3 linked regions of the Drosophila melanogaster genome follow. The protein of the gene in region 1 interacts with the protein of each later gene in a pairwise test. Each region holds a gene or a part of one and is shown on either strand. Other genes may lie near its edges.

Region 1 (9,948 bases):
TACACATATATTTTTTATAAAAACAAATCCTAATTCTAAGCAAAAGCGAAACAACGAAGGTGTGAATCGAAGGGAGACAGAAAACGAAAGAGAAAGAGATAGCGTTAGGCGGAAGAGCATATACAATTTCGACATAAATATTTTTTAAACATTTTACATTTTACATTGGTGTGAAAAGTTTGTACGCTCCAGACATACACATATGCATATATCTAAACACATTCCCGATTTCGAAAATATTTTAGAACTTTTAGCTTACATTCTTTGTTCTGTTTTTTTGATTTAACCCGTGTAATTATTAATTAATGAATAAACTTAAATGCGAAAATGTTCAATTTTGTGGTTTCATTCATAGTTAAAAACTACCAAAAATAACTAGAAATCCAAAAAAAAATTTCTGAATAGAAATATTGAATATTTTAATATTTTATTCGACATTTTGGAGTTTCATTTTAAAGATATTTCTGTTTTTTTTATTACAAACTAATTGAAAAATGCATGTTTCGATTTTGTTGTTTTTATTACTGGTTGATTGATTGTTTGATTGATTGATTGATTGTTTGATGGTTGTGAAGAATACATAATTGTGCCCGCTTAAATACTCGCACATATATTCGCAAAATATATATGCGTATTTATCGCGTACATGAAGGATGGGGTACTGGCTCTGGATAAGTGGGCGTGGTCGTTGTGGCGTTGGTGGGTGGGTGTGTGTGAGTTGAGTGAGTGTTGTGTGTGCGCGTGTGTTTTTGTTTACAACATAAGATTACAAATATATTACATACACGAAAAATCAATTGCGAACTAAAAACTAAAGGGCAGATCGGGCTGCCACATAGCTAGCCATATGATTCGATGGGTAGAGGGGGGGGGGGAGAGAGAGGGGAAATGTGGTGTTGGAGAGGGGGGGGAGGGTTTGTTGTTTGCTGGTCACTGGGAATGTGTGTAGAATAGGAGTTGGATCTGATTGACACTCAAATCAACGCTCAGTTGCGCTTCCGCAGGGCCAGACGACCGATGGGGCGCTTGGGCTTCGTCTCCTCCTTCTGCTGCTGCTCCGATTCCTCAGCGGCGGCATCCTCCACCGCCTCCACGGGCGTCGCCTTGGCGGGCTTCGACAGCTTGCGACGGCTCACTGGGGATAGTTAAAGCGTTAGTTAGTAATGGATTTAATAACTTGATATAGAGAGATGATTTTAAAGATTTCTATTCTAGTTTAATGTCAATTATTTCAAAATTAGTAAATTCAGAAGGCACTGCTAGTCCATTTAGAGCAAAATCCTGGCCTAATCCCTGACTAACTTACATGCTGAGTTGCCCTTGTAGCCCTTGGCGGGACTGGATGCTGGGGCGGGTGCTGGCGCGGATGCCTGCTCCTCCTGCTCGCCGGAGTTGGACTCGTCGCTCTTCTTGGCCGGCTTGCTGGGACTGGGCGGCTTCTCGGCACGGTGCTTCTTCGCGTTCGCCTGACGGCGCTTCAGCGAGTTGAGGAAGTCATCGTTGGAGCGGAACGGCCGGATAACCGGGCCGACCTTTTTGGGCGCCTCCGTGGTGGTGGTGGTGGTAGAGCTGGCAAAGGACGCCTCGTCGCCCTCCTCGCCATGATCGCCGTGCTCGCCGGTTTCCTCGTCATACTCCTCGCCCTCGCCGCCGGCATCCGCTTGTGCTGGCGCCGCTGTCGTCGTGGTTGTCACCTTGGCCGCCTTCCCGACCGGACGGCGCAGGGCGGCGATTCTCTTCGCCGGCGAAACGGCGGGACCACCCTCCTCCTGAGCGGAGACCACTCCGTAGCACAGGACGCAGACGATGAAGAGCAGGCAGCTAAGTGGATTAAAAAAAATATAATAAATTATTAATAATTATATAATTATACTGCAATGAAACAAAATTATTTAATAATTCATGCCAATCGTATATAGCTCCTATTTTAAATACTTATGCTTTTACTCATTTAAATACTTTGAAAACTGCCAAAAATAGCTCATTAAAAACCATTGCCAAAAGTGGAACACCATTTAATTACTGAAATAATTTTCAAATGGTTAAAAAGACAAAAAACACACTTCCTTATACTTAAATTAAATTATACTTTAAATAAGTATTCTGAAGGTTTCTTGAAAAATTCGATCTTGCTATCATTAGTCAGTAACATTAGAATTTAAATGCAAGTGCCTATTTGTTGCCATGATTAGATGCTTAAATATTCAAATTTTACATAAATCAATACTGAATTGTTGCCATTAAAATCCCATTGGTTGTTTATACGAACAATGTTTCGTTAATTACGAGTATTATTTACTGGAATAACTTGAATTTCGAAGTCGCTGGTGCAATGTACCGCTCGACTTTCGAATCGATACGAAACGGATCTATTCGAATCGATTCAGTGATGGAATGGCATCTGGTGAATCCCCCGGGCAAGGTTGGCCAACATCTACACGCATCTAATCCTCGTGACTTCCAGCTCGAACCCAACTCTTGGGCGATCGGACGGACGGGACAGGTCTGGTTGGACGGGTTATTCAATACAGAACCTGAAGTCGTAAATATTGTGTACATAAAATACATATGTGCCCGCCCCTACATATACAGTGGAAACTCTTTGAATGATACGACAAGAAATATGGTAATTAACTGAATAAGAAGCATGAAATTATAATAAATTTAGCAAAGTGAAGATCTAAAACAGCGATATTCAATCAACAATAGGCTTATATGCTTGCAAAATCAGCAGAATTTGTTCTCACTTTTAACTCTATTTAGATTTATCACCTGTAAAGGTCGTAAAGAGCTGGATTTGTTTAGGCTAATAATTAATATTTATTAGTAGTTGCCATTCGGGTTTCCTGTAAGATTTGCTATTTTATTTTTGTTTTTTTTTGTTTTTTTTTTGTATACTTTATGTCGCATGCTGACGGAGGACAGAGATGTGCTAACAAATATTAATGTGTAAAGGTCAGACAAACGGGTTTGTTCACTTTCGATTTCGATTTGGATATGGATTTCGCTTTAATGCCGAATTCGAATGCGAATGAATGTTGCTCCGTATCTGTTGTTGTTGTTGTTTCTACTGTATATATATATTTTTTTTTCCTTATTTCTTGCTTTAGTTAACCACTTTTTATTTCTCTTTGCCGCTGGCGACGATGGCGGCGGCTTCAGTGAGTCAAGTCAATTGCTCATATTTTATGCAAAACAAAAGACTTAGGCAGCGAACTCGTTTTGAAATTCTTTCCTATGGCAACGCTTAAGTCGAGTGCTTTGTTGTTATTGCCGCGATGAGGGGGTGGCCAGAGGAGTGGAAGGTTGGGGGAATGGGGTTGGTACGGCTGTGCAGGGCGTTGCGGTGGGTGAGTGGCCAAAGGAAACAGGTGCTTATGCAAAAGGCAGTCAACAGCGCCACGAGTGGGGCGGGGGAAACCAGTTGGTGGCAGCCAGCACCACGCCAGAATATATTTAAGTGCGCGCTCACAGTTGCAGTTGGCTAATAACGGTAAAATGTGCAAGCCAAGTTTTATTTTTAGCCAACACACATAGCACCGTTGTTCATTTTAATTATTTCTACTCGATTATCGTATCGCTCGTTTCATTTGCATTCGAGCATGCTGCATTTCCCCCATTGGGATTTATTTGCTTATGGGGTCAACTGGATTGGCTTTACATGTGGGAATACATGTGGCTGTGGATATCGATATGAACGTGGATGTAGCTATGGAGATGGCCCAGTTAAGCGACAATTATGCAACTGGCAAAAGGTGAAAGGCGTGGGCCCAAGTTGTGGGTGCGTGCCCGGCATCTTCAACATCCCAGCGACTCCAGCGACTTCAGTTCAGTGCCCAGAGGCGTGCCCAGAAATATTTCTCAAGGGGGCTTGGGCCAACGATTTTCTCTTCGGGTCGTTTAGATCTTTCATTTTGAATGGATCGATCACGTTTTGAATAAAGCTTTTCTTCACTGGTTTAGTTTAGTTCGGTTTAGTTTGTTGCTTATAAACTCACTCATTGTTATTAGTTAATTTCCAATATTTATTATACCATTGTTTTATACGCAAGGCAATATTTGGTATTTATGTATCTGTGGTGTGGGGGATCATATGTCAGTTCTGCAAGTGCTGGGTTTTCCATGACATTTGGCTAGGCACTGGGCATAGAGCATCTCGCAACCGGTTCTCCAGCGGATTGGCCAACGGGAACAATGGCAGGGCGCAGACGACGCCAGTGCGCAGTCCACACCCACAAACAATCCGTTGGGTGGACAGGTAGATAGATGGGTAGGCAAATGGATGCGGCTGGTACGGCGGTACACCGGCAGACGGGCACATTTCTGGTCGCCGTGGGCTGTTTTTAGTGCCAGCCGGTGGTTATATAAGCCGACATTAGTTGCGAATTTATGATAAGCAACTCGCGTTGGCGAGAATTTCGTGGATCAGGCGGAACCACTTATTTAATGCAGCCTCATCGTTCGGCCTCATTATCATCCTCATTTAAAGAGCTTGGTCAACAAATTGGTTTGGCTCTTAATTTATTTCATTTCATTTCGCTTTTGTTTGGTCTCCTTTTGTTTTCCTTTCGTTTCGCACTCTGTTTTGTTGGCTTATGCTGCTTATTTTATTTATTTTTTGTTTTTTTGCCTTTTTATTTCGACTTAATGGGCTGACGTCATTGGGCCTACTGCGGATATGAAAGAACTTCCACACTCAAAAGCAATTTATGCAGCATTAAAACGATTGGTTGTCTTCAAGTTTTAAGAAGCGGAAGTTGCTTTGCTTGAATTATGTATGCATTTCGAGTTTTTGTCAAATAAAAGCTGAAGAAAAACTATAAACTGAAGTCTAGAGGAAACCCATTTAAATAATGTCTTAAAATCTGAAACTATTCGGCCAATATTTCTAAATGTAGAGAAACCTTTTCAAAAAGAAAAAATGCCTCTTGAAAGTGTTGATCTTGAGCTGGGCTCAAAGTTTCCGTAACGAAATGCGACACCTGCCCCAGTTAAGCCATGCACGTTTTCTAATTGCCCTGGAGACCTCATTACGCGTCCACTACCAGCATGCACCTTTGCCCCCCCCTACGGGCCACACCCCCCAAGCCCCCGATCAGATAGTCCCCCCCCCCATTTGGACCATATGTATGTGTAGCCACTTATTACGGGCCAAACGTGCACATTCGACACCGAATCGGATTCAAATTCGAATTCAATTTGATTGTAACTGCTTTTATTGCTGCCGCGTTGGATCAAGTTGAAGTCAGCAAGCCAGTTAAATTGGATGGAGGTTGGATGGGGGTTTGGCCTGGTGAGTTGTTCCAAAATTAAGGCGAAAAGAGCCGATTGGCCGCTTGAGGCAAGTGGGTTCAATAACGGTGCATTGTGTCGTTGTTAGTTGGCCAAGTACGTGTTTTGGTTGCTTTGGTACGTGTTTTTACACTACTACTACTACTTCTGGCTGGCTGGCTGGCTGGCTGCATGCCAAATCGATCGAGTTCGCTGCCTAAGTCTTTTGATTTGGCCCAGAGTGGTATTTTGGTGTTTACGTTTTCGGTATCGCATTGAATTCGCTTTGGCCCATGAAGTGCAGCACATATGTATATTACTCATACACACACACACACACACACACACTGCCAATTTTGCGACTCGAAAGTCCTTGAATCTTGAATGTTGAATCTTGAAGGCATCGCCGTGTATTTTCATTTCTTTTATTTATTTAAAATAAATTGCATAATACACCATGCCGGGGAAATGGAACGGAAAATCCTGATTTAGCCGTCTGCCTGCCGACTCACCTACCAACTCCAACTCCACCTCTCTCCTCGCCATTTCCATGTGATTAATTCCATGCATACAACGCTGCGATTAACACATATAATACATACATATATATATGTATATATATATACACACCCCATTCGAGTGGTATTGCATTTATGCAGATATGCGGTCTGTCTGTCAGCTCGCATTAAAAGTGCAACCGTTAATTTATAAAAGACAACCGCGGTAATTAATCCAATATACTTAATTTGCTGCAGCTGCGAAAAGTCGAGGAAAGCGGTGATCTGGTGATCGGGTGATCTGACGATCTGAGGCGTTGAGCGCATCCACTTCGAAAGGAGGAGCCACTTTAGCTGGCGACCTTGAAACATGGAGCAGACCCCATACCATCACCCCCTCTGCTGTCGCCACTGTGATCGCCTTTTACGATCTGAAGCTTTAACTTTTGCCATTTCTTTGCCGGCAAAATGCCAGCCTCACATCCCGTGACAACTTCATCACATCATCATCATCATCATCGTCGTCGTTGCAATGCTGATCATGGTGATCATCGTTATGACCAAACTTTGGCATTTTAGCCACAGCCACGGAGCTCGGTTCAGTTCCAGTTTGAAGCCACGGCATGTTAAAGTTCAAATTGGCATTAAGACGAGCTTACCTACACCTGCATGTGGTTGTGCCCCATAAAGGTTGCAAGTCAACGTGCTACATGCAACGGAGTCGATTGCCAATGCATTTCGACGGTTGGCAACTAAGTTGGGATTTCGAAAATTAAATATATGTACCAAAGAAATTCGAGAAGTTTAGCGTGCGTGGTGGGCTATGCAAATCAAGCTCAAAGTGGTTCGATTAAAATATTCTTTAAATATTTTTAATTATAAAATGTGTCTATTAATAAGTTACTATTTCTGTTCCAATGTCCTGTTCAGTTTTATAACAATCACTTGAAAAAAAAAATACGATCTCTCCTCATCGGTCACGAAACAATATTTAATATTTTGAAATAAATATATACTATATATTTTTGGATCACTCACATGTTGAAGTACTTCATTTTGTCTTGATGTGTGTGCTCGTGCGTGTTTTTCGATGCGTGGGGAGCGGCTTTGGACCAACAACAAAATGAACTCGAAACGCGCGCGTCTTAAACTTAAACTAGAAAAAAAACACTTGTGTATTTATAATTGATTTTATATATTTTTTTTTGAGGGAGGGGGGCGAGGTTATCGGCTTCTCTGCTAGCGAGCGGTACTGACGACTGGCCACGATCACGATCGACTTCTAGAGGCAGACTGAACGTTACTTATGCCGTGTGCACACAGTTAACCTACGGCCATCCAATATTTTGTGGCAGCGACGGTGACTTCGACGGCGGCAGCGGCTGCGCAACAGGTTCAGACCGCCCTAGCCAAACCGCCTGCCTGCACCTCCAACCCGTGGCCACCGCCTCCTCCTCCTCCTCCGCCAGCGACTCCCAGCCCCTCCACTTCCATCGCCGCCTGCGCTCAAAAGCTCTTTTTGCTTTTGCACGGCGCGAAAAATGTGGTAAGAAACGTCGAATTCTAGCCATACTTTCATCTATAGTCATCAATCAAGCAAGGCATGCGAATTCTTCAGAACTTTTCCTTTTTGCCATATAACATATATGCTTAACTTAACTTTGGTCTGTATTTGTATCAAATTACAAATGCAAATTCATCAGGACTTATTTAGTCAACTGTATAAACTATATTTATACATTCAATTGAATGTGTTTAATATATGTATGTATCCATGCTATATATTTTTAGGAATATATAGAAGTTTATAATACCGCAAATTACTTAGTTATGTGATTACAGATTACTGAAGTTTCCTTGCCATCCTTTCCTTTTTTGTGGATGTGAGCAAAAGAATAATTTTTAATTAATTAAAATTAATTTTAAATTAATTTATGCCGACGTACTTCACATATTCCCTGAATTTTTCCACTAACAAAGAAAATTCCTATGCCCCTTCAATGACATCATTGATTAAATTAGTTTGTATAATTTAACATTATCTACCACCCGCCAAGCTGATATTAAAAATGTAATTCCTGATTTTTTCGCCTTGTGTGCCCAAGCGCCTCGATGGTCGATCTGTGCTGGCAGGAGTACTTCTGGTTTTTCGGAGCCAATTTGTCACGGGCCTGGGCTCTGGTTATGACAGGTTTTTCGTATCCAATCCACTCCAATCCCAGCCAAGTCAAGCCAATCCAATCTGAGTCGAGCTGAGTTGAGTTGAATTGCGTTGAGTTGAGCTGAGCGGAGTGGAGCCGACTCAACATTCGCAATTTGTATATTTTATTAATTAATTTATTGATTTTAGGCCAATTGTTGTTTTGCCTCTTTGCCGATCTGGTAAATCCCGATCGAGCTGACCAACCAATCCCCGAAAGCAGCCGTCCCGCCCGTTGGCCAAAAACACACATCTGTGCCGCATGTAAATCGCTAAGTTCGCGTTTAAAAATTAACCAAATCAAGTCAGTTAATTATCAACGATATGCAAATACCCTAGAAAGTGTAATGAAACAAATTTCAATTGACTTTTGGTCACATGTCAAATGAATTTTTCCACATTAAAAGTTTTCCTTAATAAGAAAGTGAAATAAATACAAATATTAATTTACATTAAATATTTTTACAAGCATTAAACTCTTTGAAGACTAAAATCACTGGACCTCAAATGCAAGTTAACAACTGATCTTTGAAAACTTCAATGAATCTCAATTCTATGGCCACCAAATCCAACCGAAATCCATCTGCAAGTCTGCGGGCCCTGAGTCAATTTAAGGTATGGAATGGCACCAAATTAAAAATCCGTAAAAGCTGATAAAGCCAGAAATATTTATGCATATTTTGTGGGTTCGTCGCGGCCTTGAACTGATTGATCAGGAGTGCTGCAGGGGGGGGGGGGGGGTCAGGGGCGGGGTCTGTAGGGTGATGGCTGCATATGTTTAATGGGTGACAAAGCTGATGGGCGCTAATTAATCTTCCACACCCATCAGCTAACGATCGCTTTGAACTCTTGCAGATGTTCTGCGGCCAGGTGTTGATTTTTTGGCGGCACTTGGCTCAATGGGACATACTAATTAAGCTCCAAGATCCGAGATGCGAGCTCCAAGCTCCAAGCTGTGAAGCCAGCCAGCCGTCTGGCCAACTCACCTTGAACTACAAAATGTCAGCCAAAATGGCAAAATATATGTTATAAAATATAAGCGAGATAAACACACATGGATATCATCTGATATGCCAGATGATACAACGCAATGGTGCAGAGCATAAACCAGAAACTTGTTAAAAATATTAATAAAAAAAAAAATAAATACGCAATGGGACAATGGCCGCCATTTCCATCCCAGTTCCATTAAGATCCAATCCAAATGCAAATAGCCATGCAAATGGAGCTAATGGACCCGATGATTCCGGCATATTTCCATGCCCATCACGTATTTGGGGGCCAGATTAATGCCGCCACATAAACAGATACAGATACAGATACCGATACCGATATAGATACAGATACGAACCCAAAATAAAGGCAGTTTTATGCAAGTTTTCATGAACCGAATAACTTTAGTTTGCATTTGATCAGACTTTTGGTTTGAGCTTAGCTCTAGGTTTAAAGTACATATTACACAATGGTTTAAGTTTTATTAATTGCTTCTGATTCCGATTCCTGTTTTTTTTTTTTTTTTTATCCGTACTCTCTAAGGCAGTAGAACAGTCTCATCGTTGTGGGATCTTATATGCCGCTCCAGACGATCTATGATATAGGGGGAGATATATATATATATATATATATGTGGGGATAACCGAACCAAACCAAAGTAGAAAAACAAAAAAGTTGATGAACAGAAAACAAATGAATACTGATTTTATACACATTATAGTTTTTATTTTCTTGACGCTTGCAATTCCATTTGGATGCCAGTCGATTTGAAGATTCGATGACAAATGCAATTACAAACGTGGTTAAACTAGAGAGTACAATTAAACATAAACGTAATACGAATGATCATCATAATAATAGTGCAAATAAAATACAAAGTAAAAAATGAAAGTAGCGCTTCGATTGATTTCAAAATCAAAGTTCGAACTTTACGGCGATCGATAGACGATTAGCGATGAACAATAACCGACTACCGATGTTCAACGA
Region 2 (8,314 bases), on another chromosome or scaffold:
TACTCACACCCTAAAAGGGTTATTCCACCCATGTGTTTGGAGGCCAAAGGTGTTTATATTAGATAAAGAAGTTTAAAGTATCCATTGTTAGAGCTAAAAGTATAACCTCATGTTCGAAAGTATAAAATAAATAAAAGTATAAAATAAATATTTAAAGTATGTATGCTACTCGAAAATTCAGATTCAACGAACTATTTCCTGAGCTAATTGCTTATCACCACCTCGTTATCAGTTCAAAACTAAATATTTAATTAACACACAAGAAATGACAGTAAATGTGTTGATATAAGTGAGTCAGTCAGGCATGCAAACACTCCATAGGTTTTCAAACGGCGAAAGTGTTTGTTTCTCAGTGAGTTTGCTTCTAATCGAATGCAAATTTCAATTGAGCGCCATTTGAATCGCCAATTCAATCAAACTTAATTGATGCATTGCCTTAATTGGAATTTCCCCAAACTAGATATGGGACACCGCTGGCCAGGAGCGATTCCGGGCTCTACGCACCCCGTTCTACAGAGGATCGGACATCTGTCTGCTCTGCTACGCACTCGACGACCGGGACAGCTTGAAGGGATTGGGTGTGTGGCGCAATGAGTTCCTCAACTACGCAGATGTGGACCAGGACAAGTTTCCATTCATCGTGGTGGGAAATAAGGTGAGCCATGCTTGCAGAACGTTCATCTTGAGTTTAAAAGGTTAATTGCTTCCAATTGTAGAACGACATTCCGGCGCAGAAGCGACAGGTGAGCTCCGACGCAGTGCAGCAGTGGTGCGCGGAGCAGAAGGTGGCCTGCCACATCGAGACGTCATCGAAGGCGGCCACCAATGTGACGGATGCGTTCGTCCTTGGCCTTCGCCAGTGGCGGCACATGGAGTGCGTGGCCGAGGCGGAACTGCGCCAGCACGGCGACACCATTGACCTCACCCGCCCCATTCGCCTGGTGCAGCGGCGCATCTGTTGCACAGGCGGAGGAGGCGGTGGCGGCGGCGTAGGGCAGGACGCGGATGGCGATGATGCCGCCATGCACAGTCCGGGCAAGAAAGTGTTCGGCCAGAAGCGCAACGCCAGCAAGGCGCCAGCCACCAATTATCGGCTATGAGCAGACAGACAGGAGCTGTCAGGAAACTTACGCTTAATTTAACCACTCACCCCGCCGGGTTGACCTTCAGATTCAATGCATTCCAGTCCGCGGAGGGGCAGGAGCTTCAGACCGAAAGGCAACCCATCCACCCAATGTTGATGGCTGTAGAGAGTGGATTGCCTCGTTGTGGTTGATATTCTAAGGGAACTATGCTTCACAGCGAGCTAACTATGAGCTAGCTTCTATGTCAAGAATAGGATCTCCATTTTTACTTGCTATGCTTTAATATTATCTTACTAAGTTATTATTTTGTTATGTTACCGTATCGAATATATGCGGTATGAAATACTCTTATAACAATCGTATATAAGCTTTACCATAACCAAGTGTCTTGCTTGAGGAAAGCAAGCTTTAGGTGTCTAATGTACTACGCATAAGGCAATCAGAATGTAATCACTACATTTTTTCCTTATATATTGCATAATTTCGGAGTGCCTTAAGTGTGTTTATCTGATGTGAAAGCTGGGAACAAACGAATAAATATGAATACCGCACGTGTTTGTTTACAAAGTATGTTTATATTTTAACAATTGGTTTAATGTACAATAGTAAAATGATATAAATACGCTTACCCCGGATTAAAATAATATGCATGTAGGTATAACACTTCTTCTGGCTGCGATCGACACTCCGATCCTGGTTAAGACTAAGGCAAACTCTAGGCGCTACTCACTAACAGGACAAGCGTATGGTAGATCGAGTGCTTAACTATAACGCTCCACGTGGGCTTAATGTGAAGACGTGTGGAAACGAGTGGAGTTGATTATCACGAGCAGCACCAGGCCGGTGGCCACAGATCACTTCTTCTTGTAGCCGTACGAGTTGATGGTGTCGAACTCGGTGTCGCACTTGAGCAGCAGCTGGTACCACTGGTCGCTGTCGATGCGGCTGGCCTCCCGGAATCCTCCGTAGGCGGCTGGCAGGCACTTGGGCGACATGTATTTGTGCAGGGACTCGCGATCGGTGCCATGGAAGATGATCCTGCTGCGCAGCTTCTCCTTGAGGAAGGGCTTGAACAGGGCAAAGACCACCTGGAAAATCTTCGGCTGGTTCACGATGTGAATGGCCTTGATCCGGAGCGGCACCGAGTCCTGAAGCCAGTCCACAATGCGCTTGGCGAACGGAGGCGTAAACTGCCACGTTTGCTGGAGACTGAGGCCATCCATGTCGAAGATCACAACGGCTCCGCAGATCTGTGTTTCTGGCTCCAGCATGGCCGCCTCCAGGAAGAGCACAGCTCCCTTGAACACCTCATCGAGGGTGACCTGCTTGTGCTTCCAGCGCTCTGTAATCGGGGATTACGAAAGATTAATACAGGATCTGCTCAATGCTTGGAGCAACTATGAAACTTCAAATGATAGGAAAACCTGCATCTTAACTAAAATAAACTTTACTCTGAAGATCGAGATCTTTGCACTCAAAAGCTAATATATTGAAGTATCCTTCTTTCAGTGTACTTACTGCCCAGTTCGAGGACCAAAATGCGACGACCCAGTTGATCTCGGTTGGGGAAGACGGTAAGGATGTTGTGCTTGAAGATGTTGGCCTCGTTCGATGGCTTCAGGTCGGTGTACACATCCGCGTGCTTCACCTTGAAGGCGTAGTACCGCTTAATCTGTTCCATATTCAGAATATATACAATTAGTAACACAGCTGGAAACTGGGTTGCCACACTAGACTCACCAGATCACGGGCACTTTCCGGGTAATACTTGCAGGGCCGCAGGTATCTGATCAGCCACTCCTCGTTTCCCTTGGGGTACAGCAAGTCCGTCTCCGCTGGAAGCATATCGCAAATATTAATCGACCTCACCTTCAATAGTCTTAATTCTAAAAAGTCACTAAACCACTGGCATTAAGTTTATCCAGCAATTAAAAGGCAATCGTAATTTGTAACAATAGTTACGAATCTTATGCAACGAAATCCTCTCGAGGGCGCGCTGCTTTTAGCCCCAACTTGTTATTAGTGACACGAAGTCGCCAACTAATGATATAGAACTATTCGTTCGAACTTGGTGTACAAATGGATTTTCAATTCCCAACAATCGGGTAAATTATTAGATGCAGGCTAAGTACGAAGTTTATGGCTTAAGTTTTATTAACTCAAGTTTTTATCAGCTTTTGGAGATCCCTCGGATATAAATTATGAAAATAGCTTAGCAAAATGCATATTGTATGATCTCAGTTCAGATATATGTATATACTTTAAACAGATGTAATGCAGTTTCAATGACTTTCATCATGTGAGTTTTAACTCATGTAGTTAATGTATAATTATATTGATTCAAAGTAAAACTCCATTTCTGATCACGACTCACCTTCTAGAAGACGGGCCAGCTCCTTGGAGGCCTCCTTCTGGCGCTCGGGTGTTTCGCGCAGCTCCTTGATGGCCACCTCCTTGCCCTGGGCAGTCGGCTCGCCCAACTCGAACTGGAGCGTGTAGTCGCCCACCTGGAGCGTGGGCAGTTGGTCGATGTCCGACAGCATGGTGGGTACTCCTGGAAGGGAAGCAGTTGGGGTTCGGTTAGCGACAGCTTCTGTACTTTGAGCTGGGGCTGCGGGTTTCACACTGAGAGCACTGGGAACTTTGGCCAACTAAATAACTTGAGCTAACTGACATCGATTGCCAATTAGTTGTCATACTTCACAATTACTACTTACTCATTTTGCAATTGTTGCTGCTCTGGCTGAACTGAAATTATTCTGCGATTATATTAAGCTATGTGCTTTTTCTAAGCGGTTCGCCGCTGTATATTTTCAGTTTGCCAAATGTAAAATTGTGCCCTCTATTTATAAGAAGAAAAAAGCGTAGAGATTTCAATTTATTAGCGAGACACAAGTGACTCGGAACCGGCTCAACTGCATCGAGTTTCTAGACTTTCCCGCCAGTCAATGCGATGATCGTCTAAACATATCCATATATGTATTCATTTATTTATTAATCACCTGGCCGACCTTCACCTTGACATTCGCAAATTGCTTAAAACGGAAGAAGAGGCCAGAGATTCGCGAAGATAATGCAATTCTTCAGAGATCAGAAAATAACGTTAGGAGCCTTGAACTAAATTCTGGAGACACTTGACGCGTTCTACTTGAGCGTAATTTCCAGTTAGGCAGGTTTCGAATTGCGAGATGAGGAGCCAGGGTCTGTGAGCTTATATAGTGGGGCAGTTGGATATCAGAAATTAGCACACTAGATTTCCCATCAAATCGGAAATTAGCGCTGAAGATTTCCCATCAAATCGAAAATTAGCGTTAGTGCTGGCTCGAAACAAAAGACTAGGAGATTAGCATCCGAAGCGCTGACATTGAAAATTGCTACCAATTTCGGCTAGATGGGCCAGGTGATTTGCTTAGGGTATCGTCTGTTTTTGCATTCATGAATGATACACAAGAGTCTACTGAATCGCTGATGTTGTGTCTGGGAAAATACGAGATCTTAAATAGTACACACGGATCACAACACAACACAAGACAACACAACACGACCGAAACTAGTTTGGCCCAAACTTAAAGGCTATAATGGTATAATGGCTAACAGTATTCCGCAAAGACGGCCCAAAAAACCAGCTGCGAGTGACGCGTGCAACGGAGCTGAAAGCCCAGATGAAACTGTTGCGGCCAAAAGCGCGAGTCGAGATTTTATGCCAGGCCAAGAATTAAAACTGGAATTGTGAGCGGAGCGGCATGAGAGTGGGTGTCGCCGATCGAGACGCCAGTGCTGCCAAGTGGGTTTGTTTCCCGACAGTAACTACTTCTGCTATAAGGGGGTCTTTTAACTATAGTTGTTTAATGCTTTAATGCACCAAAATGAAGTAGTTTCAACATAATAAGCTTCTACTGAAACATATATTTTCTTGCTTGCTTGCACTAGTGATGGGGAATAACTATATAATGCTATTATATGAAACAAGTTGTGCACCCATTAAGTGATCATCACCAGCTGAATCTGAACTTGAGCATGACATTCACGTGCCTCGCAAGAGCGTGGAGTTGCTAGATGGAGAGACACATGGAGTTTGCCCAGGGAGAGCGAGCAAGCTTTACTGGGTCTGGGGTGCATCGTCATTGGGAAATGATGCCACCGCCACCTCAAGCCGGTTTCAGTTTCGCTTTCAACTTGGACTTGCCTAATTTATTCGGGTTTTCTTCGGGTAATCGCCCACAGTACTATTGGGCTCTTGAAAATCCCTTGGCATAGGCATTTCCCATCGCGACCCTGAAGCCCCGTGCCCGTGCATAGCCATCCGGTTTCAATGCTGCCCAGCTACACGCCAATTAGTGCTTACACCTGTTCGGCGTACCTACACCTGGGGTCACCCCACTAGCAATTTGTTGGAGACCACAAACATTGGACACTTGAAAGCATCTTCAACTATTTATAGATCATAGTTATAGATCATAAGATCGCATCTAATGACACCGCATCACCATGTCATATCATATGTCCCTATTTTCTCAGCCCCATGTGTTAAGCCAGGCATATTTGGTATAATTAACACGTCCCAAAGCCGAGCACCCTCTGCGTTGTGGACAGCAAATGGTTCCCGCCCGGTTTTGGACAAATCGGTTCAATCGCACGATCGCACGTGCGAAGACTTCGGCCATTCATGGATACGGATTTACGTTGCGATGATACTCTCGATTTCATTACGGCCAGTTTCGGTCATTTGGTCAATTTTTATTGGCCATCTCGAAGCGGATGCTGACGAAAACTGGGTGGTACAAAGCTGCGAGTATATGGAAAAAACTTGAAGCGAGTAATATGAGTAATTCTGGGGTTACGACCCATTGCAATGTCAACCTTCGCCCTTCGGTTTTTTCTTTGCAAAAAGCGTGTTAAAAACCCTGCATGAGAAACCTGCTTTTGAAGAACGTGACAATGGCGGTTCAAAAGCAAAAGTGCTTTGACCTTACTCAAGAGATGGAAAAAGTACAAGTCGGTAGATATTACTGACATCGAACAAATGGATTGTTACATGAATACTCGCTTGATGTCCAAACAATTTAGATGGCATATCAAAAGGCATTGCAAAAAGTGTTGTTTTTTTTAAATTATTTATATTTTGAATACCTTTTAAATACTCTTTCTCGAACTAATCGTGACTTTCAATTACCAGCACAACTGTATATAAGTTTTTAACAAACTGGTGTATAGTTTTTCGAGCAACTGTAGCCACGCGCCTTATATAAATACATACGTACGTATATAGAAAATAATTCTATTTGAGGGAGATAATTCTAAGAAAATGCATATAGTACTTGCAATAAATATACGATAAAAAATGGGGTTCGGCAGATTTCGCTATTGCTCACCAAGTGGGAATTCAGAGGGCAGGCACCTCATCGCAGATGCAGTGGTCAGCATGGTCATGGCGATGCAGATCGAATGAATACACACACAAGTTACTTTACAACTAACTAAACCGGTATGCACATGCAAATGCTAGCGTATGTAAATAAATTAATATTTCTTTATTCAGGCTGATCGAGTCGGGAGCATCGGCGGTGGCTAAATGGGTCAATGTCGTCGGCGAGTTACTGAACTTTGTCTGAAATTCTCGAGCGACGAGTGCGAAAGGGGGGAATGCATGCAACAGTAATGAGCAAAAGGCAATGCAAAAAACACGGACAGACAGTGATGCCTCGTAAATAAGGGCTGAGCGTAGCTACATAGTGATAGTGATGGTGATCTGGCTAAGATATTTTTATGGTCCCTAGCGCTACACACTCAGAAATGCACTCTTAAAAAGAAAAGCACTCTATATGTATATATATATACAAATGTATATATGAGATCCAATTACTCACCTTGTTTGAATTGAAAATCGGCTAATCCACAAATAGTTGGCTGGTACAGTGGAAATCCTTCGGAACTCCCGTTCGACTCCGATATATGTACCTAGTGAGCTTGGGTCGCGTTTGAAGACTGAAAATACAAAGCTGCTTGTCAAATCGTTTTATAGCCGCCCCTTTTATGCACTGCGTGCATTGCACATATGTATTGTACGACAAAGTTATAGTTATCAAGATATATACATAGGTCGGTCGGAATAGTCGGGCACTCGTAAGGCCAGCGCGACTTAATAGGTCATTATAAGCGACCGATTCGAGTTAAGAGCTCTAAAGATCACGTCGCGAATCGCCGCATGGGATCTTCTTTTTTTTTTTTGGCTTGTTTTGCATAAGTTCACCTGAAAATGGTTCACTGAGCTCAGCATTAATTTTATGTTATTTCCATTGTTTTTAGTACGTTAAAGTGCCAAGACAAGTGCGGTATTTCTCACGGTGCAGCGCACTCAATCGATTTTCCACAGCAATTAACATTATTAAATATAATGTTGCAGAAGGTACACTGAAAGTAAGTGAGTACTACAAAATTCAAGAACTTTCTTCACTTTGTGTGCACTTTTAGAAATGTTCTTGACTTAAAACAATATAGTTATTATTATTATTATTGAAAAAATCCGTACTTTCTATCAGGAAATCCACTTTGCTATATTTTGTAACTATATACACTTTGTAACTTGTACTGTTTAGCACTTTCGAGAAATTCTCATCTGCCACTTGCGAAAAGTCCACTTCCTATATTTGTTCTAGAATGTAAACGAAGGAATATTTTCATTTCTCGTCGCAAAATACGAAATTTTTAAGTTAGCTATATAGCATCGGGGCACTTTCGCAATCGCGGCACAGCTTTATATATGTATATATATTTATATTAAGTGCGTGTTCTGAGCGTTTCGCACAGTGTATCGTGGTTAATCTTCTGATGGTTACGCGACTTGGATGCAATTAGACTTGAACTTTTGAACGCTCCGTACACGAGTAGTTTAAAGACTAATCGCCTTCGCCACTGTGACTGAGTGAAAAACGAGTTTGTAATCCCTCTTACGGATCGTAAGTGTGTAAGTTATTGCTTTGGCTATCACTCCTCCCGTTCGACACAACAGTAACTTTCTGCTTTTCTGCCGGACACTAGCTAATGTACCTTCTTTCGACTGGCGTGTCCGCGTTCCACGATCAAGTGATCAACTGACTGACGGGGGCTGTGGGTAATTCGAGCTCATTTGCTTTTAGTTTCAAGCACGAGCAATTAATTAAGTATTTCACTGCTCGCCGTTTCCAAATGTATTTCCATGCCATTTCTTGCGCTTGCCTGAGCCCATTCTG
Region 3 (4,440 bases), on another chromosome or scaffold:
ACTTTCTTCTAACTATTCCAATTCATTTAGTAGAGTTTTGCAAAGCAACTAGGAATAGTTTTACCATACACAAGTTCCTAATATGTTATGCATTGCAGGTCAGAAGCGTGTTGCCCCACCTCCACCGCTGGAAACGGAGGCTGCCTCCAAGTCGGTCAAGAAATGGCGACGCGTGGCACGCAAGCGCGGTTTCCTTATTGGCGGATTCAAGATTCCCTATCTCAACGATCAGCCGAAGAAGCTCCCACAGCCGGAGGCGGACTCATATGCCTTGACCTTCTTCGAACAAACCTTCAATTACAGTACAAACCAGGACGCCACCGAGGAGGACTTCGTAGAGGCGGCCGTAGTGCTCAACGAAGATTCGGAAGACGAATCGGTGGCCGACGACGCCAAGTCGGCTCGCAAGATTGCAAAGCGCAACAGGAAACGCATACGGTCCGATTGGGCACCGCTTAACGAATCGAAGAAATATAATGATTGGGGCAACTGGTGGAAGGACTACAAGAATGTTGGCGAGGAGATCGACCAGCAACTGTTGGAGTGTGGGAACTTGAATCTAGAGCATTGCTTCCTACCCAATCTGCCCAAGCTAACCACAGAGCAGGTGGTTTACGCTATCATAAAGTCGGCACACTTTGGTCTCGAGAAGAATGCCGACGTGCCGTACGACACAATGAAGACGATCTTTACGTTGATGAACCGCACCTTCCTGGATAACCTTACGGAGTTGAACATGGTGGAAATACAGGACATTATTCGCGGCATACCCAATGACCTGTGGGTTTACAAGTTGCGCAGCATGGTCTTCCTGTGGGCCAAGTACAAGGCCATTACCAATTCCAAGTCCACCGCCGAGGACGACGTCAAGGATCAGCAGGCGATTGCGCGCGAATGGAAGAGTCCATGCTTCCACTGGCTGGCCAAACAGGCTTTCGACGAGCTAGTGGTAAGTTGGTAACATAGTCATGCAGCCTATTTCATACTAACTAACTCCGACCTTGCTTTTTATAGGCAATCAGCGAAACCGAATGGAAAGACCATCGCACTGTCTTTCCCTCTATAGAGTAAAGTAATTTGGAAACTAGACACCTCCCCTCCTTCTCAACAGCCGAATATGCACTGGACCCATCAAAGGAGGAAATAGAGCGTGGGTTCTTCTTCAGCATTATTTTATGGATTGTATGAGTCTGCATCTAGTTGTATTAGAGACCTTTATTATTGCACACATGAAGAACCATCCTCTTGACTTTAAGAAGTAGATTGTAATTATGTCGCAATGCTTTTACAAATAAATAACTTACCCAGATGGGCGTCTCTTGCGCCCTGGGAAATAACTATAATACTGATCAGAAACGTTCTTCCTATTTGGAAGGTCCGATAGCAATTATGTCTTGTATCTTCAAAGCATGTATTTTGGCGAGATATAAACTCAAGTTCATGAAATCTGTATGTATACAAATGACGCTAGAAGAATCCTATTGATAAAGAAGTAGATTGTAATTGGAATGAATAATAAATACATAACCAGCACAGAAACTGTTTTGCCTCAGCAAAGGGTAACCGAATTATTACTTCAGACAAATTAACAAGATAAGATATGAAAATATTGAAAATGTGTAATAAGATACAGTGGCTTAGTTAATATGTCTTTAACAATTTTATTGCCAGCAACAGAGGGTTTCACAGAGTGTTCATAGGTGTCTTTAATTTCTAGGTTACAATAGATTTGAATCCAATTCAGACTGGCTTATATAAGCATGGTTTTTGGCGTAGAAACTAAGCGCCCAGCTGCTTGTAGAGGATGGGCACATAGTCGTCGTACTCAGCCTGGTAGAGGTTACCGGCAATGGGATTGCCGAGGGCGTACTTCTTGGCGAACTCGGCGATTTTGAAGCCACCGCGTCCATCTCCGCTGTTATTGGGCAGTCGCTTCTCGTCGAATGTGAGCTTGCACCGCTGCTCGTAGATCAGGAAAACGTAACGATGGAGTCCGGTGTCTGGTGGAGGCCCGGATCCCACGTAGGCGGAGAGAACCTCGCCCTTGGCGACATCTCCACCGGGTATGTTGCCCACCAGCCAATGGTGCCACTCCCTAAACTTGGGATCCTTGCGACTGGGCGCATCCGGATCGGTCATGCAGAGGGTGTACAGCTTATTGGCGTCCGCCTCCCATTTCACGCACGGCTCATCCTTCACCTGGGTGGGGGTCAGGACCTGACCCGGCTTCACGACAATATCGCCGGGATATTCCACCACAGCTGTCTGCGCCGGTGCCTTGGCGATCACATCCGGAACTACGCAGTGCTCCTCCATTGTTTTGCCTACTTTTTCGCAAGAATACTGCCGCTGAGATGCGATAAATGCAAAGATTGGTTTCGGTTCCTTGGTTAGGATAGAATTGCTAAAAGTTTTCAGCGTTCTAATGGCGGCCGGAAAGTTGACAGCTGAATAATTGACATTCACACCGGTTGATCGGATGTAATCTTTTCTAAATCCATTTAAAGCGCTGCGATTGAGATTACGCAACACCCGGAGCCGCATACAAATCATCCTTATTGCTTAAGTAAACCAAATTGGATTAATTAAAAAACTGTTTATTGTTCTATTTGCCGACTGACAATCGATAAGTTGCGATTCACCTGTAAGCGTTTAAACGTTTTTATCGCTATCGATAGGAATGTGTGATTTTGAATTTCTAATCTTCGAAAATATTTGCGCAGTCTACTTGAGAAAAGCATTTCCGGGAAATGAAAATAAGGCTGTGAGAATACTATAAGCAACTGAAATCATCATGGCTTGGGTTCCCACATCACGATTCGAGCACGATCTGGTGCAGTTGGAGCCGCACTTTAATCTGGTCCATGGACAGATCGCCTATGAACTGAGGAAGAAAGAGGAATTCTCAGAATCCGTTCCCATTCATACCTATGAGCTTTTGACAGCCCGCGAGGATCTGCTTGGATATGGCACGCGGGGTGGAAAGGGCCGAGAGATTCGTCAAAGTCTGCAAATGATGGAGACGATTCAGAGAGTAGCTGGCACCAAGCCGCTGGGAGAGCACGCCACAATGGAGGACTGGGAGGACACCACAATGGTGGACGTGGAGGCGATTGCCATCATCCGGAACTTCGGAAGAATGACCCTGAAACAGGACTCACTGACACTCCAGCCGCAGATCAGCTTACCTGCGGTTGCTCCAAATGAAAGCCAGCGATTTCCTTTAATCACAGATCGCGACTTCTTCACGCCACGAAAGATTCGTAGACCAAAGGATCTTCCGCCAGTGGAGAACAGTCCGGATAACTCAGCCGATGACTCATTTCACACCGCTAAAAGTCTGAGCAACTGCATCTGGCTGAACGGATTAAAATATCCAGATAAGACCAGCAAGGGCGAAATTCAGAATACATAGATACTTCATTAAATTACTAACTAACAAACCTTGAAAATAACTTGAAGATTTATTTTACTAAATCCGATTGAGCATGTACTCACATTATTTGCAATGAATATTGTCGTTCGATTTGGAACGACCTACATTTACCAATGTAGTAGAATATTTTAATGGTTTTTTTTTAGTAATACATAGATACGAATATCATATCAAAAATCAAAAAATAAAACTACAATTACAAATCGTTTTCATTAAGTCGTGTTTAATATATGTAAGTGTAACCTAAACCTATGTGCTTATGCTAGCGAATGTATGAATAACAAGAGTGAAGGAACAATAAATGGAAATGATGAGATGAAAGTGATTGCAGGTGATATGCACAGATATTTGGACCAATGCCTCGTTTACGGAGTAAAGCAACCTTGTCTTCAGGTCAGCCGCTGCAAGGGATGTAACTAGACCTGGTAGCGCTGCTTGTGTCAGGCCTTCCGGAAGATGTCGCTGGATCCGTAGGACAGCCGCCGTTCCTTGGTATTGCTGGTGACCAGCACCTCCTCGTCGAACTGCGACACCCGCTGCATTTTCGGTCGCATCAGTCCACGTACATCGTTCAGCGATATATCAATATCTCTGAACGCGTTGAGCAGGAACACAGCTGTGATAACGATCAGGAAGCCGCACACATCGCCGAGAATATCATCGAACCGCATGTGGGTGAACTCCTTGAAGAGGATGGCAGACGCAGCTATCACCAGGGTGGTGAACATTACATAGTACACTGGAGTAACTATACTAGTATTGAATATATCCAGCGCCTTGTTCAGATAGTTCATCTGGATGGCTATGAAAGTGACGGTGACCAGGATCAGGAACCATGGCATCCATGTGAGGAAGACGTTGCCTCCGTTATTCAGCGTCTGCCGTATGGCTAGGCCCAATGCCTTGCAGGACATCACAGTCAGAGATCCGATGCCGGAGCACAAGAAGATATAAACTACCACATTGGTGTGCCCATGCCGTGGTGCAATGAAGCAGGCCACAAA

Evidence for each region. The genes of interacting proteins can lie anywhere in the genome.
Region 2: the proteins of CG9782 (region 1) and CG10237 interact in a two-hybrid assay, tested with the Drosophila melanogaster proteins (one large-scale study listed by BioGRID).
Region 3: the proteins of CG9782 (region 1) and CG6180 interact in a two-hybrid assay, tested with the Drosophila melanogaster proteins (one large-scale study listed by BioGRID).

What each region holds. Positions count from the first base shown.
Region 1 is NC_004354.4:16,614,524-16,624,471, forward strand, and holds CG9782 (uncharacterized protein), read right to left. Parts: upstream 7,067-9,948; 5' UTR 6,824-7,066; coding exon 6,807-6,823; intron 1,822-6,806; coding exon 1,307-1,821; intron 1,136-1,306; coding exon 987-1,135; 3' UTR 505-986; downstream 1-504.
Region 2 is NT_033779.5:19,434,207-19,442,520, forward strand, and holds CG10237 (uncharacterized protein), read right to left. Parts: upstream 6,702-8,314; 5' UTR 6,516-6,701; coding exon 6,458-6,515; intron 4,761-6,457; exon of another isoform or gene 4,088-4,760; intron 3,928-4,087; exon of another isoform or gene 3,807-3,927; coding exon of another isoform or gene 3,803-3,806; intron 3,640-3,802; coding exon 3,460-3,639; intron 2,921-3,459; coding exon 2,826-2,920; intron 2,758-2,825; coding exon 2,604-2,757; intron 2,428-2,603; coding exon 1,940-2,427; 3' UTR 1,644-1,939; downstream 1-1,643. Other genes in the region: Rab9, read left to right, coding at 461-655, 717-1,100.
Region 3 is NT_033779.5:12,705,884-12,710,323, reverse strand, and holds CG6180 (uncharacterized protein), read right to left. Parts: upstream 2,664-4,440; 5' UTR 2,554-2,663; coding exon 1,780-2,553; 3' UTR 1,644-1,779; downstream 1-1,643. Other genes in the region: CG5787 (uncharacterized protein), read left to right, coding at 99-949, 1,015-1,071; CG15484 (uncharacterized protein), read left to right, coding at 2,795-3,415; spict (spichthyin), read right to left, coding at 3,877-4,440.